3 linked regions of the Arabidopsis thaliana genome follow. The protein of the gene in region 3 interacts with the protein of the main gene of each other region in a pairwise test. Each region holds a gene or a part of one and is shown on either strand. Other genes may lie near its edges.

Region 1 (7,805 bases), on a different chromosome or scaffold from region 3:
CGAATTTTACTAAACAAACCCGGTTCGACCTTCCTAAGGTAACATTACATTTAAAAACACATAAAGAGAACCACTCTTTGGCCATATATTATGAAATTACCATATCCAAGCCACATAAAACACAAACAAATTTGCCCGTGAACCCGTTGAATACATATTGGTGCGCGTATCCACGGAATACAGATTCCGCAACAATCAGCTGAATATAATAGAGATACACAAGGATCATAAAAGAAAGATCTTGAGAATCTATCAATCCAATGCAATCAAACATCTTAACAATAACTAATATCCAGATTAAAATGAAGACCCTCAAAATCTAGCAACATTTAAACACTGATGAAGAACCAAAACCAATCAAAGCCACAAAAACTCAACTACGATCTTCAAACTCTATCTAACAAGAGATAAACCTAAACTAAACCACAATTCACCAAACTTAACCTATGGTTAAAGAGATACACAAGGCTCATAAAAGAAAGATCTAGAGAATCTATCATCTAATGCAATCAAACATCTTAACAATAGGTGTATCCAGATTTAAATGAAGCCTCCCCTCGAAATCTAACAACAATATAATCACTGATGATGAACCAAAACCAATCAAAGCCAAATAAACACAATTACGATCACAGATCTTCAAATTCTATCTAACCTAACCTAAACCACAATTCACCAAACCCACAATCAAAACTCCCAATACCATTTGCATCTCATAATCACTACGAACCCAAAAAAAAACCTAATGCACATTTCATTCAATGCAATCAATCAAACCAGTACGAGACCCGCGAAAATTGTAACCATTTCAAAAACATTTCAAACGGATCTACACACAAACGGTACAAATTCCACTACCCTAAAATCAAACCCAAATTTCGCCATCACAGAGACACCAAAAGTGTGATACAAACCCATAAAACCCTTATAGATCACTGCAATTTCAAAGCCCTAAAACCAATTTTCTCTAGTATAAAGTGATAAAGCGAGAAAGCGAAAGGGCACAAAGTAAACAGAGAAGAAGAAACCATGAAAATAGGAGAAAACATACCAATCGTTGGATCGCAACTCCGAGGATAAGAATATTTTTTGAATCAACCAAACTTTATTTTTTTTCAGATACACCCTCACAAACCCTGCTCTTTGATATTAGTTTTTTTTCCTTTTTTTTTTTTCTCTCTTGAGAACACCTCAAATATATAATGTGAGAAAAACAATGTATTTGGGTGTGAAATTTATTAAGTTGTTCAAAGTAAAAATCCAAAATTTACTAATCATGGTTAAGTTAACCATGGTTAAGTTTTGACTCAGTAGGTTAAGAGTGGTATAAACATGAAAATAAATTATTTTCTTCTTAATCTGTGGTCTACAACTTACACATGTCTGTTTTTGAATTTATTAGATTTAGACTAATTATATATTATTAGGTTATAAATTAAATGTAAACAATATATTTAGGTACTAATTATCCTCTTTGAATTCAAAAATAATAAAGTTACTTTATTATACCAGTTTTACCCATAATTGCTTAACTATAGTTACTTGACCATGGTTAATTAAACGTGGTTATTTAACTATGGTTACTTAACTGTGGTTACTTTGTCATTATTTGTAAATATGGTTATTCAACCATAGTTAAGTTTTGACCTACACTGAAAATTTAAATGATAAAATATTTTTCTTATCTTTCTATCGTTTTTAAATGGTAATTCTATCGTTTACAGCTCACACATGCATATTTCCAAAATAAATCTGGAATATAATGTTGACTCATTAATAGTTTACAACTTACAAGTTTGTTAATCATGAATAAGATTTTCTATACTTATCACATCAGCCATTTGATAAATTTTCTTGATTCACAACTAATATTTGTTGTCCACCATTTCCATATCTTGTAATTAGACAAGGGAAGTGCAAACATGGAAGGATATACTAGAAGAAGCCAAATATCAGTTAAGTTATGCGCGAAGGAGTTAATTGTTCAAATAACCACAAATTTGTTATGGTGATACTTGAGATCTACTAATAACGTAGAGACGAACGAGGAAAGCTAAGAGATGGGGAAGAATTACAAAAACATTGTTTATTGGAATGGACGGTGTTTTAAATAAAAGATAGAAAAAAGTAGGAGAAACAGAGAACAAATGTGCTGTTTTTGGTGTGAGTAGCACCAACAAAAACAAAATAGGGTAAAATGAATAGACAAAAATCGGGGACATGTCAAAAGGGTCGTCGTCGTCCTCAAGGCAGGCATAGGCATGTGCATGAATGCAACACAAAACCAAAAAACACAAATCCTCACACGTTACAGGTAGCCACAAACCACACAACTTACTAAGCAATTTTATATTCATCTGTTTCCACATGTCCCCAACAGTATGGACACCTTTCCCCGGCTGCTACCTTACTCACCAGCTTTCTCACCCTTGGTCTCTGGTTCGGTTTCAGGTTTTGGATCAGGTATAGCATCAGGTTCGGATTCCAGTTCAGCTTTGGGGATTGATTCAGTTTCCAATGCAGTACTGGGGTTTGATTCAGGTTCCAGTTCAGTTGTGGGGTTCAGTTCAGGTTCCGATTCAGCCATGGCGTTTGTTTCGATTTTAGGAGATTCTGTCTTATCATGACGGAATTTAACAACAATGCACGTGATGTTGTCTGCACTGCCACGGCTGAAGGCAGTGTCAGTTAACTTGCGGGCAGCTGCTTCGGGCTCTTCCTCGCTCTGAGCAAGGGCTACCGCATCCTGAATCAGATGTAGAAAATCAAATATTTAAATCCCTCAAACCATTCAGAAACAGATACAAGGGGGTGAATTTATTTGAGTCATACCTCATTTGGTACCACATCCCATAAACCGTCACTTGCAAGCACAAGCAACTCGGCCTCATGATCTATCTCTAGATCCTGAAAAATAAGCACAGAAGCATGTTCACAAAAACTTAAAACTCGGAGATTTCACATGGGTGATACTACAGATGATGAGAACAACATGACACCCTTGGACAAAAACAGTAAGTTGCAGTTAGAAGCGGTTACTTGTATCTCGGGTTCAGCAACAACGAATTGCTTCAGCATTCTGTTACCAAAGGCCCGGGACATAGCCAACACCCCACCTACTCTCCATGTTCCTGACAAGTAAAAATCAAGATGATATTATTATCAAGTCTAGGGCTGAAAGAAAAATTCAGAGAAGGATGCTTAATGGGCATGCCTCAGGAAATCTAGTTTTTCTCTGACACTGAATGTTTAAAGCATGAATAACCCTAACCCGACAAATAGAATGCCTAGATAAGATGGTATGTGTGTCATTGTTCCATCTAAATAAGGAGAAACAAAAAAACCAACAATAATATTGTCATATTCAATTTCGCGAAGGAGATATCAAGCATTTTGAGTAAATCAATAATGAAGCTAGTAATCTAACTCAAGAGAGAAATCTGCGATCTCACTTTGTCATGTTTAGAAGCAAGCAACCAATTAGGGGGACACAAACGAGGGACAATTTCTTATATATCAGATTACCTGCCCACATGATAACACCACCAGCACTTTCAATTCGCTTTCTTTCATCGCTTCTATTTGGCTTATGGTCATCAGATAGCGCGATCGCTGCAAAACATAAAGCACGAAGTTTGAAAAGAGTCCTTATGGAAAGAACACAACAAAGGTTTGTGACCAATCATAAGAATCCATTCACTATTAACTAAATTTCAATGTTCTATAAGGATAGTATAACTCCAATTCCTAAACTCATTTTGAAGCTCTCGATTTTATCTTTAAATGATATGCCACATTGTATTAGATCACAACGACATACTGACCTTTCCCAGCTTTAGAAACTATTGTCCTCGAGTCTCCAACATTTGCAACATACAAATGGTTCCCCACCAACACAGCAGCAGATGCTGTGGAGCCATCATCTCTGTAAGTATCCTTTTCGGACTCGAGGAATGCTACATCAGTTTGTTTATATGTTTCATCTGCCAAATTAACCATGTAAGAAGGAAACCAGATGACTTATGAGCTTCATACTTCTTAGATTATAACAAGATCTTATGTCAAGAGATATAGACGCACTTAATGCCAGCTTGGTGTCTGTCAAAAATTGTGGATGCTTCATGAGATTGTTAAACAGGTGTTCCTTCAGGTATTCAGCAGCACGTGAACCACCATGGCCTGTGATGATTAAAGCTTCAGATATTAGAAGAGGAAAAATAGAGATCAAGTCAACAATCTATGATTCTGTTTCTGAGTATTATATGAACGCATATTGCTAGTTCAAGTGCACTGCAACCTTTAATTTTCCTAAATAAGTATGTACAAATACGGACTCTAACTAAGGTAATTCTAGATCTTTCTTAACTGTCATTCTGCAAATGAAGCTGGACTGTGTTTTAGCTCAGCCATGTTTACATTGCGATAATACAATAGTAATAAGGAAAGTTGAAAACTAGGCTTCAAAACAGATCAAATACCTTCCCCAAGTCACACTAACACTTCGTATTCGTCTATACCAAAAGAAAAGGAAGGAAACATAGAATCTAACCATCAAATATTCCAAACATGCAAACTGCTTGGCCTTCAATAGTGGAAGCTTTGATATCATAGAAATCTTCCATCGTAGATCTTTTCCCTCTGAAACTACAGTACCCACAGCTCAAGCTTCCATCATCACTGTCATTGCACGTAACATATATTAAAGACCACTTAAAAACAAAAGAAAAAAGTAGAAAACAATACTTTCACATTGATCCAAAGATATAGACAATTAACGATTGCCTACATAACAATATAAAACTTCAACGTATAATGGAACTTAGTTTCTTCCATGACATAATCATCCGTATAACAAAATAACTTGGTGAAAGATATGACAATCTTGCTAGCATTTCACACTTAAAATATAAAATGATATCTTCAAAACAAGTAATATTTTAACAGCCCTATATATATACCTAAGGCATTTGCTACATTCAGCACAACGATACAAAGACACGGAATCTAAAAAAACGAGAAACAACTCACTTTTTCCACCCACCACCGATGTATCCACCATCATCAACTTTCTCAGGCGGCATATCAACTAAGGATATACGTTTCTCTCCAGCAGAAGTATCAACCATCATCTTCGCACTAGTTCTAAATCCAATTCCACTGGTTGTTCTAAATCCAATCACACTAGTTCTAAATCCAAAACCCACACTCAAAGTCTTCTTAATATGAATAAACTGATGTCTTCCTTGAGCCAACACCCCAATACGACAACCAGCTTGAACAATGAAACTCCTTATGAAACTGCTGCATACCATCTAAGTAGTCAAACCTTACCTTAAATTAGTTTCTCCAATGCAGGACCTGCATATAGAAAAAATTCATTCTGTCATTAGTAATAATACGATTCCTAAATCAGAAAACGAAGATACGAGCTACTTCAACAACATAGAACATGATCATCATCAACATAAGAGCTAAAATACAGATCCTGGATCCTTAAAACCCAAATTAAGATAACAAACCCTATCTATCTGTATGGATAAGTTGAGAAATGTTGTTAAACTGATTTCAACCTCTAAATTCTTCAATTAAACTTAGATCCTGCATATTCAACGAGTAAGATTATAGAATTCAACAAGCAAATCATGAACAATAACGAACACGATCCAGAATCTCTACTTCCTAAGCAAATTTTCGATTCAAATAACGAAAACGGATCAAATCAAAGGTAGAGAGAAAAACTAACAAGGTATCTTGTGGAATCAAACTCGAAGAGAGAAAGAAGAAGAAATAAATCCAAATCAAATCAAGGATCTGTGGTGGAAACGGAATCCTAGTATTTATCTGAGAGCTCTGACAAAAAAAGAATCGAATCGGATCGGAAAACACACGGTGGTTGATCTGACCACGGATCCGAATCTGAGAGAGAGTGAAGAAAAATTGGCTGAACGAATCAGCTTTTTGGAGCTTCCATGGAATCTGAGAGAGAATCCAAGAGAGATGGAGGGAGAGAGAGAGAGAGTGGTGGTGAGTAGTGAAAGAGAGAGAGGACACCGAACAGAAGCGGCAACGTGGCACTAGTCATGCATCCTAGATTTATATACTCCCACTAGGTTTTGTTATATTCTTTTTCCATTGGATTACCGATTACCTCACTTTATTCCAACTAATCAACTTTTTAAACAATTAGCTAAAATTAGCCACTTTCATTGTATTATAAACCTAATTAAAACAAATTATACTATAACCATAGCTGGCTCATTCATTCTTTATCCTATGAGTCTCATATAACTAAGGTTTTGAAAATAAAAAAAATTATAGTTTTGAGTGGTAGTGGTGTATCTATTTGGTATAAGTTATGCTCTTTCCGTTTTATCAATAGGGTCGTTTTAAAATTTTATTTTTGTTTTACAAATCTTGTCTTTTTGTTTTTTTCTATACACTTTTTGAAAATAAATATCTTTTTAGTCTCTTTTATTTTGGGTTATTAATAAGAAAGATACTTTGATTCTAATGTATTTGTAAAAGATAAAATATAAATTTAAACAGTTTTCTTAAGTTGTGTTAATATGTTGGAATGATACGTTTCGCGAAACAGAGAATTATTAATTTATGTCACCTAAATTTGTATTATTGATTTAACAAGTATTATTGTATAATCAAAGGTTAGTGTCAGGCAAAAAAAGAAGAAGATTATGGGTATAATAAAGTCGAAAACCTCAACCATAAAGAAAATTATGTTTATGAGCCCAAAGGTTGCCATGGCATTGAGATAAACAACATCGAAATAGAGTTATTTATGTCATCATAGGTTATGTTGTATTGGAAAATACCATGATCAATAAGATAAATTTGGTTTTAAGAATACTATGTACATCATAAGTTTGAGAACTTGCATGTAATCAAGGAGAATTTCTGAAAACACACAGAAATATATTCAACCACTTTGTGTCACATGTGTACAGCTTTAAATGTACAAAACAACAAAAGATACTACCAATATATCTCGCATAAGATTTGGCATTCAAGTACATGAGCATTGTAGTGCCAAGAAATCTGATCATCACAAGAGAAACGCAAAATTCGTTGAGAGATTGTTTCAATCGTTCTTTGTCAATTGGTCCCAAAACGAAGACCAAGAATGAAAATGGTAAGGATCACATATTACCTTTAGAGGTAATGAACATATACAGATACAATTATTGAATGAAACAGTGGAACCTAGAATATGTTCAGTGTGAATTTGTGATCATAATTAAGTAATATTATTCTGAATAACAAAACTAAAATTGATACACATTCTTTATATATCGTGATTTAGGAAATTATTTACAATTTCAATTTTCTAAAGAACCCATCACATATGGTTTTACTTTTACGATTTATTATAAGTAAAAATTAGGTTTCATTTGCGAGATCTATCCAAACTGTAGAATACATTGGAAGTTGCTAGCGTGTTAGACCAAGGAGATCTGAACGTAGTTCTCCATGAGAGTTTTTACTCTTGCTACGTTATTGGTTCTTTTGAGATTTCATGTACGTTATCCCTAAGAAACCCGTGACCGTGAGCATCATATTCAATTATGCAAGAATAAGCTCTTAAGAGAATGCACTTTAATTGTTAAAAATTAAAATGGTCATATATATTGTCCTGGTAAAATTGGTACACTGAAAAGCGTGGTTACGAATTTGTCACCGGTGAGGAAACAAACTAAAGGGCCGTGTTATTTAGGTCACAATTCCACAACTTCTTTTTTTTTTTTTTTTCACAATTCCACAACTTGTTTATACGTAACCTAAACTCTTCC
Region 2 (7,288 bases), on a different chromosome or scaffold from region 3:
CGAACAAAGCTATAACCCTTCTACAGGTATTGAGAAAGCCGAGAATGAAGACATGGAGATTAGCATACCTGCAGCAAAGGAAGAAACTTTACCAGCTCTAGAATACGAACAAAGCTATAACTCTTATACAGGTAATGAGAGAGCCGAGAATGAAGTCATGGAGATTAGCACACCTAGAAAGGACGAACCATTATCAGCTCTGGAATACGAACAAAGCTATAACTCTTCTACAAGTAATGAGAAAGCCGAGAATGAAGATATGGAGATTAGCACACCTGCAGAAAAGGAAAATGTTGACTTATCTTTAAAAACAATAGATGTGAATGCTAAGCCTGAGACCTATGAGCTAACTCTAAAGAACTCGGATTTGGAGATAGGCCCATCAGTTGAAGCTCAAGAATCACAGGAATCTGTGAATGAAGAGGAACAAATGAAGAATGAAGAGAGGAAAATGAGTCCTTCCACAAAGCAAGCTGAGCAATGCTTAAATAAAGAAGAAAATGCTCAGTCAGAACAGCAATCAACGGAAGACTGTGAATTGAATTCACTCCCTATTAATAACCAATCAGAAGCAACAGTCGAAGTGGAGTTAACACCCAACGATGCTAAGTTAGATGAGGATGCGACATCTAGAGATAAGTGGGAGAGCAAACAGCAACAAGAGGCTGATAAAGATTGTAACGAATCATCTGTCTGCAAAAATATTGGGACAGATGATAATGACAACGACACTTACATGGCTTTGAAAGAAAAAGTTAAGGAGATGCAGAAGAAAATTGAATACCTTATGAGCATGCACACAGCAGAACAACAACAATCACCCTCCTTCAGAAGAGATTTCAAGAGTCCTCCAGAATATTTTACTGCCAAAAGAAGCCGAAGTTGCAGAGAAAATCTCTTGAGTGTTAGATCTCCTCATTGGTTTGAGAGTTTGGAAGTTAGTAACAATACATCACCTACCTGGAGGGTTATGCAGACAAAAGCTTCTCCTGGAAGACCCAACACTTCGAGCATTTCCTTTGATTCAGGGAGTTCTACCTCCATTGATACGCGTAGCCTGAAAGACTATGATCCTGAGATGGGCAATAGCTTCCGTGAATTTGTAGCAGGGCTTGAGGAAATGGCAAAGAAGCATCACTCAATTGACTCGACACCGGAGCTAGATTATGGGATTCCATACGCTCCCACAAAAACCGAAAGAATGGAGATCAGACCGGAAAGCCCTGCAGATAGCGTTAGAGGAAACGAGAATGCATTGCCAAATCCTCAGGATATAAATAAAGAAACCACAGATGCCACCAATAATCAGTCACAGAGAGAGCAGGTTGGTGATTCGGTAAGCCAAAAAAAATATTTTCTTGGGGAGACAAAAACTTCTTTCGTTTCTCAACAGTTTGGATGATCACAAAATGCAGGTAGAAGAAGCAAAACCTAAGGAAACAGATTCCACAGAGGCTTCCCAGGAGAAACTACAGGTAGCTGCTAATGGACAATATTCAATCAGTTCTTCAGACTTTGAGAGACAGCAAAGGAAAATAATTGAGCTTTGGGCAGCATGCAATGTACCACTGGTTCACAGAACCTACTTCTTTTTGCTCTTCAAAGGTGATCCTTCAGACTATGTTTATATGGAAGTTGAACTTCGAAGGCTATCTTTTCTGAAGCAGACGATATCTAATGACATGGAAACATCAAGGTATTTTTCTGCAACACCTTTTTAACGAGTCTCATCAATATCAATCATATACTCATAAGTATGCTAACCAATTCCTTTGGTGTCTAATCAGGATGCAAACAGTGAAGGCACTCACACGCGAGAAGGAATGGATTTCCAAACAATTACCAAAGAAGTTTCCATGGAACCAAAGAATAGGGCTTTACCAAAAATGGGGCGTGGAGGTGAACTCAAAGCAGAGAAGCCTGCAAGTGGCGCACAAGCTGTGGACCAACACCCAAGATATGGACCACATAAAAGAAAGTGCTTCTCTTGTGGCTAAGCTGCTTGGATTTGTTGAGCCAAGTCGAATGCCGAAGGAAATGTTTGGCCTCAGCTTGTTACCTAGAACCGAAAACGTAAAATCATCTGGCTGGAGATTTACCAAATCATTCTCTGCTATACGCTTGACCAGATGATAACCAGAGCACAATTATAAAACATAAACAAGACAGAAGTCTCCAAACACTGATAGTTAAGTTGTGAAAGGCTTGAATGTAAGATAAGTCAAGTTCTGCTTGTACCTGATTGCGAAAGAATCCAAAATTGTAGCCCTTATGTTATAGTTTAGATCAAGGAAAAGGGTGTGCCAAGAACGTTAATTTTTTTGTGTTCATTTATAAACACTAACTTAGAGAGAGAATTTACAAAACAAAGAGAATCTCGCAAGCTCAGACATGCTACATATGAGTATATTATGATGCAAGAACAGAGCCTTCAGTGATTTTCCACCCTGACTTGGACCAGAAAACTTCGTATCTTGTTGTGTAGGTTCTGACATCAGTAGCATTGTTTTCTGGATGAACCAAATCAGATAGACAAGCAGACTCCTCCAGAGTTGCTTCCACCAGAGCACGGGTTCCATCTGCTGAGACTGTCACACTGTCAACAGATAGTTTCAACAGTGTATAATCATAAACCAACCCAAGCTGCGCAGTTTCAGCTGCTCTGTCAGTCCAAATCTTCAGCATTCGCCCATCCAAAACCTATAAATAACAGAATCAAACAAGGCACCAGACTATAATCATGTCCAACAGTTTTCACACAATTGATTGAATTGTAGATTTATTCCCTCACCTCTGGTAACATTTCTATGCGGTGATCAGGCCCAAAAGCCAGAGACTTAATCTTCTGCCACTTGGATACTATATTCTCTGCAGTCCTAGCATCCATTCTGGGAAGTGCTTCTGAATCGTCAGCTCTGACTGACCCTAAATCGAAAAGAAAAAAATCAAGGAAAGAAAAGTTGGACAAAGCCACACTAAGGCAATCTCTAATCCTACGTTATTCTAAACAGAAATGTTGAGAGTGAAATTTACATTTCTGTCTACAGTTTGATCAAAAAATTCAAGCAGCATAATTAGTGAAATTTACTCAGCAACTTGTTAATCTTGGTACAACTTTTGGGACATGTATTAAGTGGGAACTATGTTCTTAGCTCACAAAACAAGCATATTTTGAGCAATGCAGATATATGAAAATTGCATCATTTAATCATACCTATGGTAGCGACATCAGATTCCATAGAAGAAACCATATCCTTGCGTTGAAAAGATGAGCTGCTTTTAAGAAAATACTTCTGGCTGAACAGTGAAATCAGTCCAATTGCCACACCAGCAGCTAGGATCTTCACACTTGCCTCCTTTAACATATCAGCAACGGACATTTCAACAGTAGTTTCATCAACGCTACTCTCTGAGACCCCAGCTCGAATTGCATAATCATTAGTTTCAAAGTTTTCAGAGGGTCTTACAGCTTCTGCAATAAAGACACCAGGCTCACCATCACGGCCTACATTGTTACCAACAGGATCTACACTAAACACTGTCTCTTGCACATCCTTGGGTTCAGCCGAGTTTCTATCTGTATAGCGGGAAGGAAAAACTTTCTGCAGTGCCTGCATAGCACTAGCTTTCACATGCTCGGCTCCAATCCTTGCCATAGCTGCAGCAGCAGCTAAAGGAGAACCCTGAACTACCTCCACTCTTTCCAAGTAACTCAAAACCATAGGATCATCATAGTAGTCCCCGAGTTTAAATTTTTTATCTTTGGTGTCTCTGAACCTAGGAAAGACAACCCCTGCCAACCAGGTTTCCAACAATTTGCATAGTCCAGGGAGATCATCATTGTCATCACGATTTGAATTCTCCAAAACAAACTCCACAATAGCTGGATTCCTATATTGTGAATCCTCACTGTCTAAGCCCAACCACATACGGCATTCATCAACTTTGCCTATAAGCAGTGCACAGAGTCCCCTTTCTAGACCGAAGTCTATCTCCCAATTATTCCGTGTATCATACAACATCGCAGGAATCTCCATAGCCATTACCTTAGCCTGCTGAAGTTGCTGGAATTGCTTATCAGCATCCTGTAAAAGGTGTGGCTTCTTACCAATAAAAGCTTGAGCCACAAGAGCAAGTGCAACTTCGTAAACTTCAAATGACTCTGCTGGAATATTGCTTGGGGTAGCTACAAAAAGATCAACCTACCACACAACATACATTAAAATGAGAAACCTAAAGTTATATCATGCTAAAGAAATTAAAAAAAGGTATCTAAACTGTATACCTGCTCAGCAGCTGTCATTCGTAAAAACGCCTCATTCATAAACTTCTCACGGGTCAAACCCCCAACAAGAGCTGATGCTCCACCTCCTCCAACAGACCACAAAATATTCCGCACACCGCTTAAACCATTTAGTCTTTTCGCAGCGTAATCATCACCAAGCGGTAAGCCAAGTAGCTCCAAGACATAACGCGGAGTGATCTCTTCCAAAGTCTCATCAATTTGTGCACGTAAATCCGGTGCAAGGCTACTTGCTCCTTCCTCCTACACAAGACTCAATAACAAAGTATCAAATCAAGAAAGTTCTTATAAAGCCAACGCTCGTCAAATTACCAAAGCAAGTCAAACTACCTGTAAAAGCTTCAAAGCTTCCTCAACAAACTCATAACCAGTTATAAAATCAGGTGGATCCAATGCCATAGCATCCCTCGAGACATCGAGAAACGCAAGCGCCATAACTAAAACCACATCTTGCTTAAACGACTTAGGCAACCTCTCCTTAAGCAGAGCCTCACCAACCCGAAGAACTATCTCAGTCTCACCACCTTCTTGCAATACACAGAGAGCACCAGGAACCTTCACTAGATAAAAGTTCCTTCCTTTATCCAATTCATGAAATTAAAACGAAGAAACTTTATTATTCCGAAATCGAAATTACCTTATCCCAAGGAACATCAGTGATGACTGTAGCTTCTTCATCATCAAGAAGACCTTCATTGTACTCTCTTCTAGACCGAGGATTAGACAGAGTTTCGCAAGCAGCTTGAAGAATCTGTCTCCGGCTGATTAAAGCGTCGTCGCTGAAACCGAATTGCGGCGGTTTCGAAACCCTAGCTTCGAATGCTCTTCTGATTCCATCGGTTAAGAAATGTGTTTGAGCTCCTAATACCTGGTAGAAATCAATGGGGATGGGGACGTGGCGTTCGGGACGATCAATAGATGGTGGCGGAGAGACGAGAGTGGCGGTGGTGGTGGCGGTGGCGAAGGAGGAGGAGGAGGAATCGGAGGTGAAATTGAAGTCGGAGAGAAGACGGTCGGCCCATTTGCTGGCGGAGCAGATAGTTGTAGAGGTGTTGTGGCTACGTCGGAGCTTTGTCGTCGCCGGTGGTAATCGGCATAATTGGAATGGGGAGAGACCAATGCCGACGTGACTCAGAGCTTCCATGGGAGTGTCTTTTTAGGCTACTACAAAAACTTTGTTCTGTTTTACATATTGAAGAGACTGTTTGGTCGTCTAGGGTTTATGGAATTTTGATTTTGAGTAGTATAAGTTAAATCAAAAAACATCACCAGCTACTGAAAAAAATAAAAAACAATCTATGATGTTACAGTCGCCACGGACTTTATGATGTTAAATCGTCTAAATAATCTATTCCACCTAAGAACCGTTGGAGTTGCCTTCATTTTACACATATAGAGCAACAGTAAACCAATGACTTAATTCTTGACTACTTTAAAGTTTAAACCCACAAAACCCCATCAATTCCCTCTCTTTTCTTAACATCCAACTGAAATGTGTAAAATTCGAAACTATTATGACATGTAAATGTAAAAGCAAACAGAGCCAATGAATCCTATAGCCAAGCAAAATCTTGTTGAAATCAAGACAAATTGCTTATAATTGTATTCTCCTTAATGCAGAACAGTAATCCATTTCAGTTTACATAGCAAGAGGAGTGTCACATAAAATTTGGACAATACTAACTTTCGAAATAGATACACTAATGTTGGAGCAGAGCTTCGTTACAATATTTTTTAAAGTTGACAGCCTCGTCGGTCAGGAAGTCACTGCAAAAAAGTAAAATTTTAAATGTTCAGAAGGAGAATTAGTTAAATAAGACATCTAAGAAAGAGTCCATAGAGACTAACCACAGTCGCTCAGCCATGCGTCCCACTTCCCATCTTGGACTCCATGGGTACTCAGTGAGGAGATTCGATTTCACTGGCACACTCGATTGGTTTAAATGCTGCATATAAAAAGCTTGTCAATTTTTATACCTAAATAAATAAAGAGAAAGTCGAAGCCTTCTACTTAGTTCGTTTACAAATAGTTTTGATACCTGACAACTTTGCAGCATCAGAGTTGGTTGCTGCTTCGGAAATTGAGTTGAAAAGAAGAAATGAACCTACAGCAAAGCCAAAAACCCAATAATCCACTGCTACATATTTTTGTGAAATTGAGATTTCTCTAGAAGACAAGTATGAAAATCCACTTTGGCAAAGATTGAATAGAACTTTTTAAACAAGGCTTGAATAGTGATAGAATAATTACCATGAAAGTAAATTGTCCAGAGGCATTAAGGAATGTAGCCTTACGGCAAAAGGTCTAGCAAGAAAAACAAATAAGAAAGTTAAGAAGCTCGGAAATAGTTCTAAATATATGTCAAGGCGTGCGAAGAAATGCTTACAGGATCGGCTTCAAGAGGTCTTCCCAGATTAAGACTTAATGCCTCAATAAAACTCCTCCTTAAATCAATTGCAGCAACAGCTTCATGGATCTAGAAATTAAGGTAAATAAGGCACTCGTACTCAGGAAATTAAGAAGATTTAGTTTAACTGACCTGTCTCTCAAGTGTTTCTTCAAGATGGGGAAGATATTCAGCCAAGCACCTTTGAAATAGAAATGTAAGTATTACTGATTAATACATGTATGGTTTGCAGGTATAGTGAACTGTGTGTACATCTGTAACTAACTTACATCCCGTCCATCCATGGAGAAAGTTTAACATCCTCAACAGAGAATAGCGATTTTAAATCATAATATGATACTAATTTCAAACGAGGTGCTGACGGTGCTGCTTCATATTTCCGAAGAATCGGGTATACTACCTGGATCCGCAACAAGTTTCTCAAGAAGATGCCAGCAATTTTAACAGAGTGAAGAAAAGGATAAAATTATAAGAACGAAGAGAAAACCTGAAGATAAATCTTCTGCTGATGCTTCCAAGGGCAGCCAACCACCATTTTGTTTATGTTCATATCCATCACAAGAGGTACTGCAAACTT
Region 3 (8,570 bases):
GTATTTTAATCGGTCAATGCAGTCGTATAATATAATATTAGTAGTTGCCTTCACAAATTATGGTCTTAATTTTAAATTTGATTTTTGTTTGCATAAATTATGGGTCTACTCGATACCCCATATAACAACAACTCAAGAGTCATCGATGAGATATTTATCCATTGAGCTAACCGTACCACATGGGTAGGGCCTCAGTGTTGTGTTGCCTTCTCCACCTCGTTCGTTTCTCCCAAATTTTGTTTTGTTTCATCTGATTTTTTTTTTGAATAACCTTTTTATTTATTTTAAGAGCAATTCAAAAGACAAGAAAAACAGATATAACGATTCCATCTTTCCGTTTATCAAATGATTCCACGTCTTGTTGCCAAGCAAAAATGATTCCACATCTGCAACCATGAATTATTAAAATGAATTCTACGTTAGTGGATTCTTTGCTAGACTCCACGACGCTTGACATGCACCACTAAAGATTGTTATGTGTTGATGATGGATATAAACTAATTAATATACTATGCCACGTAGTTACGTGACATGCGATTTCTAATGCCACAATCAATAACATATGAATTTTCGAATAAGCTTTATTTAATTATTCTTGTGGATAGTATCGGAGCTAGTAATAATTTATAAAGTGTTATGGGCATGCTGATGCAAGTCATAGGGCATGTGAGGTAGCACGCAATATGTGATTAAAAAAATATAATTATTCCTTTGATTAGGACTGCCAAATTATGGTTAATTATGTAGTTTATTTTATTCTTTAAATAATGTAGGATCCTTTCATGCATTCATGAAAGGGGAATTTCATGTGTTCACATTTATTTAAAACGAGAACATTAAAAATAAAAATATTGTAGGCCAAAAAAATGTTAGAATTGTTAATCAAACAGTAGTAACTTCCACTGACTCAGAAGACTCATAATGAGTCACGTTATAACTAAAGAGACTCTTTCAAGAAAGGAATCAATAAGGGTTTGATCCACGGCATATACTAACGTGGGAATATCTCATGGAGATTGGAAATTTCGTTGGAGGTCTATTTATGAAAGAATATGCTTAAAATATGCTCATATCAAATAAATATTCCATATATTACCTTTGTGGGTTTTGATCTTTTTTGAAAGATTCCAATATATATTTGGTGCAGACAAAGAATAACATACGGAGATGCTAGAAAATTGAGAGGATTATTCTTATAATTTGACTTTGCAACAAAAGTGCTGTAGTTTTGAAATTTTGGAATGTGGGGAATTTTTAGAAAACAGAAGAAACGTACCTAACTAGCCCACCACCGTACATCGTGTTTTTCCCTCAACGTACTTGTTTTCAACATCAAATAGTCATGAGTGAAAAAAGTTGATCTATTACGAAAAGTGTGCATTAACTTTAAATCGGTGGAATGTTGTTATCAAAAGACACTACACTGAAATAGGATCCGCATGTAAACGAACATTTGAATTAAAAAGGTACTATTTAAATATAAGAGAGTGGATAACAATCAGATAATAAAAACAAAAAAAGATATGGTTTCTCCAAGTATCTGAACGACATTTTTCATTGCTTGAGAAAATTATTTCGTTTAATTATATGTGCAAAGGTTAGATTAGGTCTTTATCAACAAAGTGTTAGATTAGGGATAACATAAACTATTTTTATTGATTAAAAAAAAAAAAAAGCAGAAAAAGGAGTACAACTCTGCTTTCTCACATCCTTTTACTCACCCCACATGGAAAAAAAAACCCGTAAAAGGCGGAAAAAGATTTGTTATCCTCTCTACATTACCGTCTCTACCCCTAAAAAGACTTTTCAAAAGCCAAACAAAATTCACATAAGCAACAAATGCAGAAAAAAAAAAAAAACTCATCGCCAAACTCAGAAGCAGCCACAACAAACAAGCTTCTTTTATTATTCAGCTCCTTTTTTTTTGGTTAAAAGTCTTTTCCAGAGTCTTCTCTTCTACTAGGTTGGTAGGCTGGCGGAATCTAAAATGCCCATAACCCAAATTTACATGCCCGACACTCCTCCATACTTGTTAGATAAAAAACCACCGAGAGAGATGATAAGCTATCACTTGACACTTATTTATTTCTCCGAGAGAATCTTCTAGATGAATCTCTCCTCTGTTTCTCCTGCTCTTTGGATCCATGGGTGCCCTGCAACAAAACAAAATTACAAAATACCAAATTTAGTTCACTTTATCATTAAACCAACCTACTAAAAAATGGATTAGTGTGGATAAGATAACATTATCTGTTAAAAATAGATGAAATTTATTGACATTAAAAATTCAACAGAGAAACAGATCTGATGGTTTTAGAATCTTACTTAATGCTTGTTCGGCTGAGAATCTTCTAGAAGCATCTTTGCATATCAATTTCCTTAGGAAATCTTTAGCCATAGATGAAACCCCCCGGAATATCTTCGTCGGAAAACGGAGATTTCCTCTGAGTACCGCTTCGAATATCTCTTCAGCTGTCTCGCCGTAAAACGGTGGAGTTCCAGCGAGCATCGTGTACAAAACGACGCCGGCGCTCCATAGATCGACCTTCTCTCCGTAAGAATATCCCATTAAAACCTCCGGCGCCACGTAATACGGCGTTCCGACGACTCCTTCGGTGGTCTCTCCCTCACCTAACCAAATCCCTGAACCGAAATCGCAGATCTTAACCGTATCGTTTCGTAGATCTACCAGAATGTTCTCCGGTTTAATATCCCTGTGAACGACGCCGTATCGGTGACAATGCGAAAGCGCCTGGAGAATCTGTTTAGCGAACGACGCCGTCTGAGGCTCAAAGAAGGTTCCAGAAGAGACGAGACGGTCGTAGATCGAAACAGAGGGATGGACGAGCTCCATGAAGATGGAGAGAGTCGAATCAGTGTCGATGAGATCATGGATTTGAACGATGTTAGGGTGATAGGACAAGAGAGCCATGAGCTTAGGCTCGTTGTCGAGACAGGCACGGTCAAGGTCGTCGGAGAGAGAGGCTTTGTCGATGGTTTTGCAAGCGAAGAAATCACCGGTGGCCGGAGCGTAGACGCGAGAGACGGTGCCGAAACGGCCACGGCCGATCTCCTCGCAGATCTGGTATTTGTTGGTGTTGTTGTTTCCGAGTGTTTGGCTGCAAGTCATAATATCACTTTCTTAATATTTTTTGTTTTGTGTTGGTTCTTGTGTGAGTTAAGAAGACCTCTTGAGTCGGCTCTACCTTTTTTTATAGCCAAAACTCTTGAGAATATTCCTTTTGATGCCTACATGTTTTTTTTTTCTACTAGTATTTTCCTTTTCCTTAACGTTATATCTTTTTTGTTTTTATTTTGTTTTAAATAGGATTTTAGATATTATTTCCCAATCCAAATCTATTTTTTTGTTTTGTTAGAAGTTTACTTGGAGAAGGTTTGTACTTTGTAATGTCTTTTCTTATCTTATTATATACAATTTTACTTTCTAACAGTTCTTTATTATCTATTTGGTTTGTTCTTTGAAATGATAATTACTTGGTGGTAGTCTAAAATTCACATTTAAGTTTATTATCAAATGTACTACACAATTACAATCCTCTCTAAATTACAGAAAAACATTCTCAACAGATCCAGATTTGTTAAGATAAAATATTGGATCTACAATTTAATATGTTTCCAGAAAAAGTTCATAAATTGATAATGCACAATCTAGTGAAAAAGAGGTAGGAAATCCAACCCCAATTTATGCAAAAACATTTCCAAATTGAATGTGAGTACTAAACGATTTCTTGGACGAGATTGAAATCTGAAAAAGAGATAAGAAAAGTGTGGCATGTTTGGATTGGAATTGGGAGATAATCCCTGCAAGTAAGTAAACCAGAGATCCCACGAAAACAAACTAATAAAGACACTGGATTGGGCCGATAAATCAGTTGGGCTGAAGAAAGCAGGCCGTCTTTATTATTACCTAATTCGTTCACGATGGAGGTCGAACCGAGAATATCCCCCTCCGGAGGCGAGCGCCTTATCCATTGGGCCACGCGAACTATTGGTCAGGCCTCAGTTTTTAGCCTTAACAAACTATTGAGTATTGAATGATTAGCTTCCAAACATCAATCACCAACCTTCTAGTTTCCTTTTAACCCTACTAGAGCTCTGCTCTGCCATGGCTCCCGCACTATCTACTTCTTGCTCCTCCGTCATGGCTTTCTCAACATCAAACGCGCTTCGTTACCATCATCCTCAAATTTCTCTCAGGAACTCTCTTCGCGCTCCCAAATCGCCTTCTTTTGTCAGGTACTTTCTCTTGATGCTGCTTTTTTGTTTTCCACTTCTCTTCGGTGGCTTTAAAGTCGAAGAATCATCGTTTGATAGTTCTTTTTGTTGTGTAAACTTACGGATTTTGTGGGTAACCGTTATCTTCTTCCTTCATAAACATTGTCAATTGAATTCCGACGGCTTAATTCGTGGATGAGCTTCTTACTGTTGCCTATAAAGTTTACAACTTTCAATTGCACTTAAGAGAGTTCCATTGTTGTGCTTATCAGACCATTTGGTACACGTTATCATTGTAATGAGGATGATTGAAATTCTCAGGCTTCCCCTCGGAAAGGTGTTACAGAGCAGGATTGTGATACGTGCTGCTTCGTCTGCGGCTGGTAATCCACAGTCTGATGCTGACTTTAATCCGTATGAGGTAATTGATCGTTAGAGCCCTATAAAGGACTTGTTTTGTTGGTCGTTGTGTATTTCTCATGACATGAGTGTGTGTACCTTCTCAGGTTCTTGGTGTTAACCCTATAGAGGGATTTGACAAGATCAAGCAAACTTATGGAAGGAAACTTAAAGATGCTCAGAGGAGCGGTGATGAAGCCACTGCTGCTCTAGTAAGTTACGTTACCTCTCTCTTTCTTTGGAGTCCTGTAAGTGATTTTTTTTTTTTTTTTTTCTTGTTAACACGTCTCTGTTTTACCTTTTGATAGCTTGAGAAGGCATATGATAAGCTCATGTATGCCCAGTTGATGAATAGGAAAAAGGGTGTGACTTTTGGTTCGTTTAAGGTGTGTATCGTATCCTCTTTCTTGTCATATGCTGTCTTGAACTCTATGACCTTTCTTTCTCAATCCTTGGTGAATTTTTCATAATTCAGGTTTCCAAGGACATTAAATATGCTGATAAGCAGCCCATTATACCATGGGGTCCAAGGTAGAGATTCTTTATGAGTCTACTCGCATTATTAATTTTCATCATTCAAAAGCAGGATCTGTTACTACTCATGATTTACCCTTGTTGTTACAGGTTTTCCAGGTCCTCCAAGAATGATATGTTGATCAACCTAGCAATATCAGTTGTGTTTGTAAGTAGTTTTTAAGAAATATGAGGTTTGCTATTATTAGAAATGTCAGTTTTTTTTTTTTTTTTATCTGTACCCTTTATGAATCAAGACATCATGCATAAATGACTGAATTCTTGCAGAAAAAGTGACTTGTTTCTTACACATTTATGCATATATGACATTTCAAGTACAATCAGATATGAGCCTCTCCCACTCTTTCTGTTTCTTTCTTTTGCAGAGTGCATGGATTGCGATAAAACGTAATGTTGAATACAAACCGCTGCAGTTCATGTCTTTTGTATTTGTTTACAGAATTTTTGAGAAATTAAAATCCTTTGAAGCACCTTCATCTCCAATATATAACGTGAGTTTTGAATTTTTTTGAAGCCTTATGTTTTGATGTCCGTACACTTAGTGGCTCTTTTAATCCTGATGTGCACTGATGTTTGACACTGGCTGCAGGAGGAAGGCGAAGAAAGTGGACGGGGATTGAGAATGGGAAAGAGGCTTCTTCGTTCTCTTTCCTTAGTTTTTGGCTCTATACTCTTAGCATCTTTGGTATGCATATCCATCAAGACTCCGTTATTTTAAAGAATCCGTTTTATGTTGCACCATCTAGTATTAGGTTTATTCAAAGAGAGCGGCATATGTGATATAAATGTGTCCAAGCGTTATTTTATGGATGCTCCTGATTGTTTGATCTAGTTATTAGATATGTCAGGAGTTCTTTTAATTGTGTATACCTATGTTTAACTCTCAGTGAACAATGTTTTGCAGGCATACACTGGGTTCTTAAATGGCATCGAGTACATGGGCTACTCCATACCCATGGTTCTTTACAACAACCAGGTTGTTTTTTTTGCATAACTTACATCTCTCTTCGCTTGAAACCTTCTCTTAACTAGTCCCACACAAAATGATCATTTTGATCAAAAAATGGTTTAGGATATTTAGGTCAATTGTTGGCTAAGCCTCAATGAACAGCACTAGTTGATTAGGTTGTAGATGATTGTGCTGTTTGTTTTGATTTGTGACATCTATAGGTATAAGAAGTACTTGTACTGAAATAAAAACTAAATGCACAAGTATTAGGTATGAATTGGGAACACATGAGTTGGATATGTGTTGCCACAATTGCTGAATTAAGATATAGCAAAGAGAAGGGTCTGGTCTGTAAATTAAATAGTTCCATAAGTGATATCAGTCAACCAGGCTTTTGATGATGTAACAAGAACTGACTGAACAGTGCTAATTCGGTTGCAGGAACTTATAGTGACGGCGTCATCGGCTTTCATGCTCTATGTTATAGCGTCGTTTTACAGATAATGCGAGAGTCCACAGGAGAATTGGTCAGTTAGAAGCTTTTGGAGAAGTTATGCTGTATTATAGGATGTTGCTGGGAGATGAAAAGTTTATTTTCTACAGAGAGATGGGGTTATCTTTATAACCTTTCTTTTGTGTGGAAAATCAAGTAAATTTTGCAAGAGAGAAATCCCTTAGAATCTAAGTCTTGTCTATTTACGTTTAATGCTGAGGATCGCATGTGGAAGGTTTTTTAATTTTTGTATTGGAGCAATAATATGCGTGAAGTGAAAAATCTTGAGATACCTTGAAAGTATCAGTCGTACACACAATTGAAGCGTTACGAAGATGAGAAACGTTATCAACCTTGTTAAAACACAACTGTGGAGAGTTTAGAATTGATGATAGATGAAAAGTTATAGGGATCAAAATAGAGAGCTAATATCTTTGGTGTGGTGGCGAGAAAAATCATCTGAAAAGATGTTTCATAGATTTGAGGTACGAATCTGATTGGTTGGGTTAGATAAAGGTCAGGTCAGGTGGCTAAGACTGAATTCGACTGTCATCAAAAAGGAGTGTCCACTACGGTCAGCAAAAGAAAAAGGACTATGTAGGTGAAGTGAATCCGATGGGAAATAAAACAAATGTGATAGAGAGAGAACAGAGACGCCAATTATGAGTAGAGCTGACACGTTGGAGCTGACTCTGTCTCTATCTCTATATCTCTGTCTTTCTCTATTTATAGATGGAGTACGTACAGCTGCTCCACACTATATATACAGTACATACTTTGAAAAGTATATTTGAGTTACGTCTTCAACTTCAAAGCGTTTCTTACTACTAAAGTGGTACGTTTCCCTAATTCGCTCTCATTTTCCATCTTCTTCTTCTCCTTCTTTTGAAAACACACACACAAGTTCGATTTATTTTCTTAGAATCAATGTGGTAACCATATTTCTAGATGACATATCTTGCCTAATGCTTCAATTAATTGGAGACATGATGAATTTTAACTGTAAAAAAAAAACAAATGAAACATTGAACAATTGATATAGGAATGAATAATTTTTTTTTGAAAAACAAAAGAAATAAGGGAAAAAGCTCTATTTGGTAGTATATAATAACCTAAGATTATATTCATTATTGTATTTGCCTAAAATTAGATTTAGTAGTATATTAATATAATTGACTGATTTTATGGTAAAATATATACACATTCTAAGTATTACTAAAATATTCAACATACAATAGAGAGTATAAATACAATCATTATATATGAGTTAGAGGATCACCGTTTGTGTGTGAATACTGAAGAAGGTATGTTTTCAAAGTAGATCTCTCGATGTGTTTTTGTTTTATAGTCATGATTTCTCACATAGTCACATTTCTGTGTATAGGTTACGTACGTGTGTTTGTAATGTCATTAAACAACTCGTTTGGGTGTTTTCATATACGTTTTTTTTGTTTTTGTTTTGAGTTTAGAATATTATCTAATTTTCATTTAGTATATATAAGGGATGAAATGTGACCGGACACCTTAGAATTTCCACGGTATCTGAATCAATTTACTAATTGAAAATTTGATTTGACATTAACGAATGATAAAGCTTTGGTTCATCGATGAGTCCGAGAGTAATAAGAAGACAACATTCTCGTGAATTACTTCTGCATTGGGACACGTATCTACGTGTGTTTCCCACATAGAACTCAGTTTCATCCTTTTCTCGTGAACATTACTTTCTTGATAATAGTTAGTTTCTTTGTCTTTATCAAACCAAACAAAGAATTTGTCGTTTTCGATAATATTTCATTTTCGTCGTTTCTTTCTTTCTAAGTTTCGATGTCAGTTCCTAATCTCTATGGCGTTCATGATAGCCAAATGGTAACTTTGGTGGCCTAATGTATGTCACGTAAATTATCCACGTGGCACTCACTTTTTTGCATCTTTCTCAAAATATATCAAAGGAGACTT

What was found. Proteins that work in one complex are often made in the same cells at the same time.
Region 1: the proteins of CJD1 (region 3) and AT5G53140 interact in a two-hybrid assay, tested with the Arabidopsis thaliana proteins (one study listed by BioGRID).
Region 2: the proteins of CJD1 (region 3) and ARC6 interact in a two-hybrid assay, tested with the Arabidopsis thaliana proteins (one study listed by BioGRID).

The regions. Positions count from the first base shown.
Region 1 is NC_003076.8:21,546,735-21,554,539, reverse strand, and holds AT5G53140 (Protein phosphatase 2C family protein), read right to left. Parts: upstream 6,144-7,805; 5' UTR 5,744-6,143; exon of another isoform or gene 5,520-5,743; intron 5,359-5,519; 5' UTR 5,313-5,358; coding exon 5,029-5,312; intron 4,678-5,028; coding exon 4,550-4,677; intron 4,180-4,549; coding exon 4,081-4,179; intron 3,984-4,080; coding exon 3,825-3,983; intron 3,613-3,824; coding exon 3,526-3,612; intron 3,132-3,525; coding exon 3,040-3,131; intron 2,908-3,039; coding exon 2,833-2,907; intron 2,747-2,832; coding exon 2,408-2,746; 3' UTR 1,946-2,407; downstream 1-1,945.
Region 2 is NC_003076.8:16,983,454-16,990,741, reverse strand, and holds ARC6 (Chaperone DnaJ-domain superfamily protein), read right to left. Parts: upstream 5,647-7,288; 5' UTR 5,448-5,646; coding exon 4,941-5,447; intron 4,859-4,940; coding exon 4,634-4,858; intron 4,547-4,633; coding exon 4,286-4,546; intron 4,203-4,285; coding exon 3,215-4,202; intron 2,926-3,214; coding exon 2,792-2,925; coding exon of another isoform or gene 2,780-2,791; exon of another isoform or gene 2,701-2,779; coding exon 2,410-2,700; 3' UTR 2,134-2,409; downstream 1-2,133. Other genes in the region: AT5G42490 (ATP binding microtubule motor family protein), read left to right, coding at 1-1,336, 1,416-1,696, 1,788-2,133; AT5G42470 (BRCA1-A complex subunit BRE-like protein), read right to left, coding at 6,004-6,070, 6,152-6,249, 6,343-6,408, 6,555-6,608, 6,691-6,780, 6,844-6,892, 6,981-7,111, 7,199-7,288. UniProt on the Arabidopsis thaliana protein: Component of the plastid division machinery consisting in a binary fission accomplished by the simultaneous constriction of the FtsZ ring on the stromal side of the inner envelope membrane, and the ARC5 ring on the cytosolic side of the outer envelope membrane.
Region 3 is NC_003070.9:2,746,766-2,755,335, reverse strand, and holds CJD1 (Chloroplast J-like domain 1), read left to right. Parts: upstream 1-3,715; 5' UTR 3,716-4,126; coding exon 4,127-4,257; intron 4,258-4,557; coding exon 4,558-4,657; intron 4,658-4,742; coding exon 4,743-4,847; intron 4,848-4,943; coding exon 4,944-5,021; intron 5,022-5,110; coding exon 5,111-5,166; intron 5,167-5,259; coding exon 5,260-5,317; intron 5,318-5,534; coding exon 5,535-5,660; intron 5,661-5,758; coding exon 5,759-5,854; intron 5,855-6,073; coding exon 6,074-6,145; intron 6,146-6,559; coding exon 6,560-6,622; 3' UTR 6,623-6,975; downstream 6,976-8,570. Other genes in the region: PPCK1 (phosphoenolpyruvate carboxylase kinase 1), read right to left, coding at 2,104-2,153, 2,326-3,130; AT1G08645 (uncharacterized protein), read left to right, coding at 2,741-3,085, 3,329-3,394, 3,506-3,523. UniProt on the Arabidopsis thaliana protein: Probably involved in the regulation of the fatty acid metabolic process in chloroplasts, especially chloroplastic galactolipids monogalactosyldiacylglycerol (MGDG) and digalactosyldiacylglycerol (DGDG).